2 linked regions of the Caenorhabditis elegans genome follow. The protein of the gene in region 1 purifies or fractionates together with the protein of each later gene. This does not show direct contact. Each region holds a gene or a part of one and is shown in the gene's direction. Other genes may lie near its edges.

Region 1 (3,924 bases):
TGGTAACTGGAGCAAATGAAATGTGTCCATTTTCAGAAGAAATTGGAGAACAATTTTCTAAAATTTGGAACATATTTAGTCTGCCACAAGATATTTTTACACCGAAAAGCTTCAAATAAAGACGCTATATATTTAAATCAACCAAAATAAAAACATTATTTTAATCAACTTTGAGTAAATTTGAGGTGAAAATCTGCCAAAAAATACAAAAATACAGCCGGGTTCATTTTTTTTTAGCTAAACGTATCATTGGAAAAATCTTTTACATAAAAATCCCTTTGGAACAAAAAAATTCAACCCAAAAGTTGGTGTGGAATTTTTGTCCACGAAAGCTCGAATCCCGGTTTTTTTTTCACAATTAACATTTATTCAACAACATTCAATTTTTGTTCATTTAAAAAAAATTTGATTTAATACAAAATTTTCAAATTTGCCTGAAAAAACTTTGAAGAACATATTCTAATTAAATGTTTTCAAAAGCGATTTTTGAAAAGTTAAAATGAAGACAGATAGAGAAAGATTTAGAGATGGGAGAAACAGAGAAATAAAATCAATGGTGTTCCGTGGCCGAGCTTTTATGACAAATGTGACAATATACATCTATGAATATGAAAGTATAGAGAGTTTCTGAGAAGCTAGTGTGCTATAACAATGTGGACTGCCTGTGATATTAAAAATGGAGCGCGATTGCACAGTGCAGATTTATGAGGCACACAATGTTTAATACCAAACGATTTTTTTAAAGTGTGCATAGAAAAAGAAACAAATAAGGAAAAATATAACACTTTGAAATTAAACCATGTCAGGTTGTATGTTTGAAATTAGATCTCATCGCTGAAAAAAACTTTAAACTCTTTAATTAATCTTCATAATCTGTTTATTTATGACGTAAACTTTGGAATTTTGAAAAAAGACAGAAACTCTCTTAATTATTAAAATAAGCAACGTACTTCAAAAATCGCGGAAAATTTATTTTGGAAATGTGTCTCGTTCCACTAGCGTCTTTTTTCATTTGGGTGACTTCACACTTTTTAAATAATAAACTTTCCGAGATTTCCATGTGTCAAACATTTTTTTGCATGCGAAAATTATCCAGCCCGTTCAAAAAAGTCGGGTTCAAAGAAATAGGGTTTTGGGCGCAACGCAATAAAAAATATAATACTTAAAATATCTAGAAGTTATTGTTGCTGTCCAAAACACAATCTCGTTATTTACAAATTTTCTGACCGACAGTTGTGTCCAAGCAATCTAAATCTTCAATTCTTGTCCTCTCTCACTTTGTCATCTTTTTCCTGCAAACATTGAGAGACGCAGTAAGAAGATGAAAGTTCGAAAATCGAGGAAATAATGATAAAAAACGAAGCACAAAACTCGTTTATTAGCAGAGTTTTAATCAGACGAACCCCAATTATTTTCGGATTATTTTTCTTTTTTCAGAAGGTTTTAATTTGTATCTATTTATTTGTAGCATCATAAACAAGAGACAACTGGTAATCGATCCTTTGTGGACAATTATTCTAACCTTGAGAGCTAGAGACTGTACGAAGAATGGAGAGTGAAAAGAGAAAAGGAACGTTTGTGTGTGTTTGTTTGTGTGGGGTTGGGTTTGGACTATACTATGATACTCCATGTATTTTGTTTCGATACACCGTCTTCTATAAACATGATTTTTTCAAATATAAATAAAACCTTTTTCCCAATTATTTTTCCTAATTTTAGCTCTTATTTATTTAATTTAATCAACATTCTCAAAACCTATAATTTATATATTTTCTTTCAGTAGCTCTCGCTTAAAGATGTCCCCAAAAAGTCTTCTCATCACCGGTGCCAACCGCGGAATCGGACTCGGTCTTCTGAAGCAGTTCCTCAAGCATAAGGACATTCAAATTATCATTGCCACGTGCAGAGATCCTTCAAAGGCTGAGGTACGCGTATTCCACAGAACTAAACACTTTATTGAACTCTCTCCAGGAGCTCAGCAACCTTAAAGACTCTCGTCTACACATTTTGCCATTGGACATTGATTGTGACGAGTCAATCAGCAAACTGTACGCAGAGGTAAGAAGATTAATTACTTAGCATGATTGTACAACTTTTAAAACGTGGTAGATGTAGGATGAACAATAATTTAGATATTTAGAAACTTTACTTGAAAGTGGAATTGCATACTCCCGAGTTAAATCCAGCTTTGTTTTTAAATTTTATTAAAATTCGAAATATAAATAAAAGTGCTTTATCTTGACGGCATTTGTCATTGTTCTCCATTTATAAGAAGTTGTATCGCTCTATAAATTTACAGATATTTTTTAGACTCTATAGTGTCTGAGATCTGCCAGGACGAAGTTGTGGGATGCAATATCTATAGAAAAATATGTTATATTCAGTATTTTCCAAAAATTGACATGTATTGCTTCAACTTGAAATATGAACTTTAAATAGTTTCAAAATTATACGCTTTTAAATATGTCGAAAAATCCAATCAAAATGTAAATTTAAGGTTGAAAAGCTGGTTGGCGAAGACGGTCTAACTGTTCTTCTCAACAATGCTGGCATTCTGCTCCCTTATGATGTCGAAGGAGAAAAGAACCGTAAAACATTGATCCGTCAGCTTGAGACTAATTCCGTCTCAACTGCACTCATCACTCAAGAATTTCTCCCATTGCTCAAAAAAGCTGCAGCCAAGAATGGAGGAGATGGTTATTCAATTAACCGAGCTGCAATTGTTAATATTTCTTCTACTGCCGCATCAGTTGAGAAGATTGATGGAACCTTCAACGGACCGCTAGTAACCTCTATTGAAATACATAGGCCTCACTGATGTTGAATTTCAGGTTGCCTACCGTATGAGCAAGTCGGCTCTGAACTCTTTTGCCAAATCCTGTTCAATTGATCTCGCCAAGTATCATATCTTGGTCACCTCATTCTGCCCAGGATGGGTTAAAACTGGTATGGGAGGTGCAAATGCAATGCTTGAGGTAAACGAACAAACGTTAAAATGTTTTTAACTCAATGTATTGAAAAAAAATCTAATTTTTTTCAGATTGAAGATGCTACGAAGACCCTCTCCGACAACATTCTCACCCTCGGAAATGCCCATCACGGAGCATACCTCAACGCAGACCTCACTGTTATTCCAAATTAAATTCTTGTTCAAAATTGTTAATAAAGCTGTTTTCATTATTGAATTATTTCAGCGGGAAATAAGAGTTTTCACCGTTTTCAATTTCCAAAAAGGAAATGAATTAAAATTGCACAGATTGCCGGTCATCATCAGCCATGGTCAGTTTTGAAGTGATGATTAGAGGCGCTTTAGGAATTGAAAAACAACTTAAAGGAGGACTAACGGTTCGAACGATTTTGAACGTGTAGACCAAAGGCTCATGGACGAATTTCGTAAGTGTCACATCTGCCCGAAGTTGGCTTTTTGGAATTATCATCCTTTATTGCATATTCCTGCTAAGCTAACTACCTGCTAAACTGCTAAGTTTATCTCATTTGATTTCATTGATTAAGGTACATTTAAAGCCGACTGGCAACCTATTTCGATCATTTTTGGTTACCTATCGGCCTTAAATCTACCTTAATCAACAAAATTATGTGAGTTGAACTACCAAAATATGCAAGAAAGGCTCACAATTCCAAAAAAGTCAACTTCGGACAGATGTGACACTGATAAATGGCCAAATTTCGAGATTTTATAGTTAGTTAAAATCCGTTTAATTTGAATAATTTTTGAGAAGTTTCATTACGAAATTTGTTAATTTGAGCCCGTTTTGGATCTATACGTTTGGAATCGTCCGAACCGTTAGTCCTCATTTAATTTTAAAAAACCGTATTGAGGCTTGTATCAATTAGGTAACTTTTCTCGCAGTCAGCTCGTAGACAGAAGATTTGCCAATCATGGGAAATGGTGAAATTTTGGAG
Region 2 (4,333 bases), on another chromosome or scaffold:
ATCTTTTAAAAGTGTCATCAATAGGAAAATGATAAGAAACAATTTTCTGAGATCACTGATTTTTACTGATAGTTGGTTGTCTTCATTACTTTCTTCTCGTTTCGTTTCAAGTGTTTCAAATAGCACAGAATATGGTTTAAATATTGAGTAACTTCAGTATGAAGTTGTTTAAAACTGCTCCAAATATCGTTGTAAAACTTTTCGCAAAATTTTTGAAATAATTTTTATACAGTCAAAAGGAATGAAAACTAAGAGTTTTTCTATATTATAATTTTGGAAGTAGAAAAAATGTTACATTTACCAGTTTCATTTTTTAGTTCCGTTTCAAAGAAAAAAATTTAAATAGTTTGGACCTACAAATATGCTTGAAATAACTCAAAAATACGCATTTTTGGCCAATTTTGGCAATTTACTAATGTGCGGCCATGTTAGACTACTTGGAGTTTATTGAGACTAAATCTCCAGTGGCAATATTAAATCTGTAACACGTTTTTTCATTTAATTGAAATATGCAAGTTCTTCAAAACGTAGGTTTTAAAAGTATTTATTTACAATAAGTAAAAAGATTTAAATGTTTAATTTTCATAGAAAATAATGCTCTATAACGGCTATCTATTATATATATAGTGAATAGTGCAGTGAAGGAGAATATGAAAATTCACCTATTAGCTGAGTATCAACTCACAACGTGGGTACGAAAAAAACTTTGTAGTTTTTACTTTTCGGAGTATATAGGTAATTGTTTAACTACTGCCAATAAATATGAGTACAACTTCTATATTACTCCACATAGAAACCCCAATAGATCATTAATTGATCGACTATCAACTTTCAATCAGGCCATTTTCGAAAATTTTTCTCATTTTGAGAACTTATGTGCAGGAGACACCTTCTGTTCATAGAACACAATGGAAATCAATCGGTTTTTTCATAACAGTTGCCGTTGTAGTTTCTTCTCTTTTTTCTATCTTTTTTGCAACTTCCACATGAAAATTGCATTACGCACTGTGTCTGTTTATTCAGGCTTAGTTTCAATTTTAAACTGTTTGCAATAGACTTTAATGTAATTGCTAGGTTTAAAAGCCATTGACAACTAAAATTGTTTTCTAAATTGAACATAACTTGTAAATTGTCTCGTTCAAACCACCACCGCAAGTTAGCCAACTTTTCTTGTTCTGAGGCTAGATGGCATATCGGTAGATACTATCAGTGTCACAATTTGCCGGTCAAAAAACCGATAACGAAATAGCGGAGATCTTTTAGAAACTGCAGACAGACTGGGGAGTAATGGACGATAAAATAGAAGATAGGCTAGTTGGAAGGCGCATTTCTCATCAGAATCGTGTACTTTGTGTGTAACTCATTCTCATTTTTGTCCAAGTTCTAATAAGTTATCTTATTACATTTGAATTTCCACGCCTGATCGTTCACTTTTCTGGAAACTCATCGCTCCCACTTTCGAAAATCGTATTTTTACTATGAATTTTTCAAGTTCTACGATTTTAAAGGGAGGAGCATTTATGCGGATTGGTCTCGCCACGCGCCAGCCATTGATTGAGAAAAATATATCAATAGACGGCTCTTGGCGAGACCATTCCGCATAACTGCTTCCCACTTTAAAATCGTAGAATTGGAAAAGAAATACACAGTATTCATCAAACAATCAGCCATTATTAATATATTATTCAAAATATTATTCAAAATAGCATTCACTAATTTGTGTTTGAAGGAGGTACTTCCACATTTAGAAACTTGCAAATTTTATTCTTGGTTTTTTTAAACGTTCATGTTTTTTAAGATAGCAACGGTGTTTTAAAAACTTTCCGCTTCTGTCAGCAAAGATTTATGATCGATAAAATCTTAAAACACGTTGCAACGACACTCCGATATCCCATGCGATCGTTGTTTATCAAAAATGTCTTTCGGCCGGAATTTCAAATTACAACGTGGATTTCGTGGAAATGTATTGTCCTAAAACACAAAATATCTTGGCTTTACAGCGTTATTCGTGTTCAAAAAAGCACGAAAACGGTTTTTTCGCACTCTTTCTTTGCCAATCTTCTTATTTGTTTTCTCTTATGTCTATTTACTCGTTCAAAACTCGCCTTTTTCTCACTTTTCATTTTCTAATTGTCTATCTGCAGGTAATCCCATCTCCTCACGTCACGGAAATGTCTCCTCTGCCAGAAAACACCCTCATCGGAATGTGCAATCCATTGTTGGACATTCAAACCACCGTTGAAAAGGTAAGTTTTTGATTTCTCTAGAAATCTAGAAGCACATTCAAAAATATTTCATTTTAATTGCTGAAATCTACAGGCATTCCTTGACAAATGGGGACTCAAAGAAAACGACGCCATTCTTTGCGACGACAAGCACAATGACATGTTCACCGAGCTTACCAGAGATTTCAAAGTCGAGTACATTCCAGGAGGAGCCGCACAGAATTCGCTCCGTGTTGCTCAATGGATTTTGAACGCACCAAACCGAACAGTTTTCTTTGGAGCTGTTGGTAAAGATCAGTACGGAGATCTTTTGGCATCGAAAGCCAAAGAAGCTGGAGTGAATGTGCATTATCAGATCAACGAGACAGTTAAGACCGGTACCTGCGCAGCCCTCATCAACGGAACTCATAGGTAAGCGGATCATTGTTTGACGGACAGAAAAATCATCGTTGCCGTGTTGAAATGATTTCAGATCACTCTGTGCTCATTTGGCTGCTGCTAACACCTTCACTCAAGATCATCTCCAGAAGGAGGAGAATCAGAAGATCATCGAGCAGGCCAAATATTTCTATGTCACTGTAAGTTATCGAATTGATTTACAAATAAGCACAAAAGTATTCTCAATGTAAAATTTTCAGGGATTCTTCATCACTGTCTGCCCACCAGCTATTCTCCAACTCGCAAGCCACTCTGCCGAATTCAACAAGACTTTCACCCTTAACCTCTCCGCCCCGTTCATCTCCCAATTTTTCTTCGATAAGCTCTCGGAAATCATTCCATTGGTCGATGTTCTTTTCGGAAACGAAGACGAAGCTGCTGCCTTTGCTAAAGCCAATGGATGGGAGACCACCTGTGTCAAGGAGATCGCTTTGAAGGCTGCTGCACTTCCAAAGAAATCTACTAAGCCAAGACTCGTTGTTTTCACTCAAGGACCAGAGCCAGTCATCGTCGTGGAAGGAGATAAGGTGAGAGTTTTTGATAATTTTTGAATTTATTGTTTTCAATTTTAATCTACAGGTCACCGAATTCCCAGTAACTCGTCTTCCAAAGGAAGAAATCGTCGATACCAACGGTGCCGGAGACGCTTTTGTCGGAGGTTTCCTTTCTCAATTCATCCAAGGAAAGGGAGTCGAAGCTTCAGTCACCTGTGGATCTTATGCTGCTCAAGAAATCATCAAGAAGCACGGATGCACAGTGCCATCTGTTTGCAAGTACCATTAAACTGATAAAATAATCTGTGATCCCAACTTTCTCTGCTTTCAATTTCCCAGTCCCCTGGTTTATAGTATATCAAATTGTTCTTTGTTTTGCTCCCCATTCCCCGTCCTCGAGCATCCCTATTATTCGAAATTTTTCTTTTGGTGTTGTTTTTTTTGTCAAATGTTCCCAAAATGTGCCTTATAATTCATTTATCAGGTGTTTTAATAAAATGGCAAAGTTTTATTCTTCATCCATGTCGATTTGAATTGGAATCTTCTTCCCCTTTTCGACAAAGCCAATCAGATCCAGAACCAGAACGACACTGCCACGGCTGAAATAAAGTTTGTTGCATATTTATCAGGACTAGAGGAATATGATTACTTACAGTTTTGGTAAATTGTAAAACTGTTAGTGATCAACGTCACTTTTCCGAACACGTCGAAGTTTCTGTACGCCGTTCTTATCAAGGAAAGCAAAAAGAACATTAGTTGATTTGATCAGTTGTTCCGCTGGTAGACCTTCGTAGTTCTCATGAAGGACATTGATTAGAATGCTCTTCACATGAGCAGACAATACACTGTCAATGAAAGCAATCGGTCTGGAACTTACTTATCAATTGCTCATTCTGAAAACGAATCAAACCTGAGTTTATCTCGGATGATTGGTCTCTCGATGACAACTACTTTGACATTTACACATCCGTTTTCATCCTGAAATTTAAATATGATTCTTTGTTCTATCTCAAATAGTAAAGAAATATTTCCAACTTACCAAAGATCCTACGTTCTTGAACTTTCTATGTGGAACCTTTGAAGAACGGCTACTTTTTCGAGATTTCTTCGATGATTTTTTCGATGTGTCCGATTTCGTCGGTTCAGAATCATAGCAAGTTGTAGATGTTGGAGCGG

The links.
Region 2: the proteins of F20G2.2 (region 1) and adk-1 fractionate together in Caenorhabditis elegans (co-fractionation; one large-scale study listed by BioGRID). This does not show direct contact.

Annotation. Positions count from the first base shown.
Region 1 is NC_003283.11:13,754,266-13,758,189, reverse strand, and holds F20G2.2 (DeHydrogenases, Short chain), read left to right. Parts: upstream 1-1,780; 5' UTR 1,781-1,796; coding exon 1,797-1,925; intron 1,926-1,971; coding exon 1,972-2,058; intron 2,059-2,497; coding exon 2,498-2,785; intron 2,786-2,831; coding exon 2,832-2,975; intron 2,976-3,040; coding exon 3,041-3,142; 3' UTR 3,143-3,179; downstream 3,180-3,924.
Region 2 is NC_003282.8:11,208,643-11,212,975, reverse strand, and holds adk-1 (Adenosine kinase), read left to right. Parts: upstream 1-2,144; 5' UTR 2,145-2,171; coding exon 2,172-2,246; intron 2,247-2,319; coding exon 2,320-2,636; intron 2,637-2,697; coding exon 2,698-2,803; intron 2,804-2,863; coding exon 2,864-3,190; intron 3,191-3,242; coding exon 3,243-3,446; 3' UTR 3,447-3,667; downstream 3,668-4,333. Other genes in the region: R07H5.9 (Kinesin motor domain-containing protein), read right to left, coding at 3,834-4,023, 4,068-4,135, 4,197-4,333.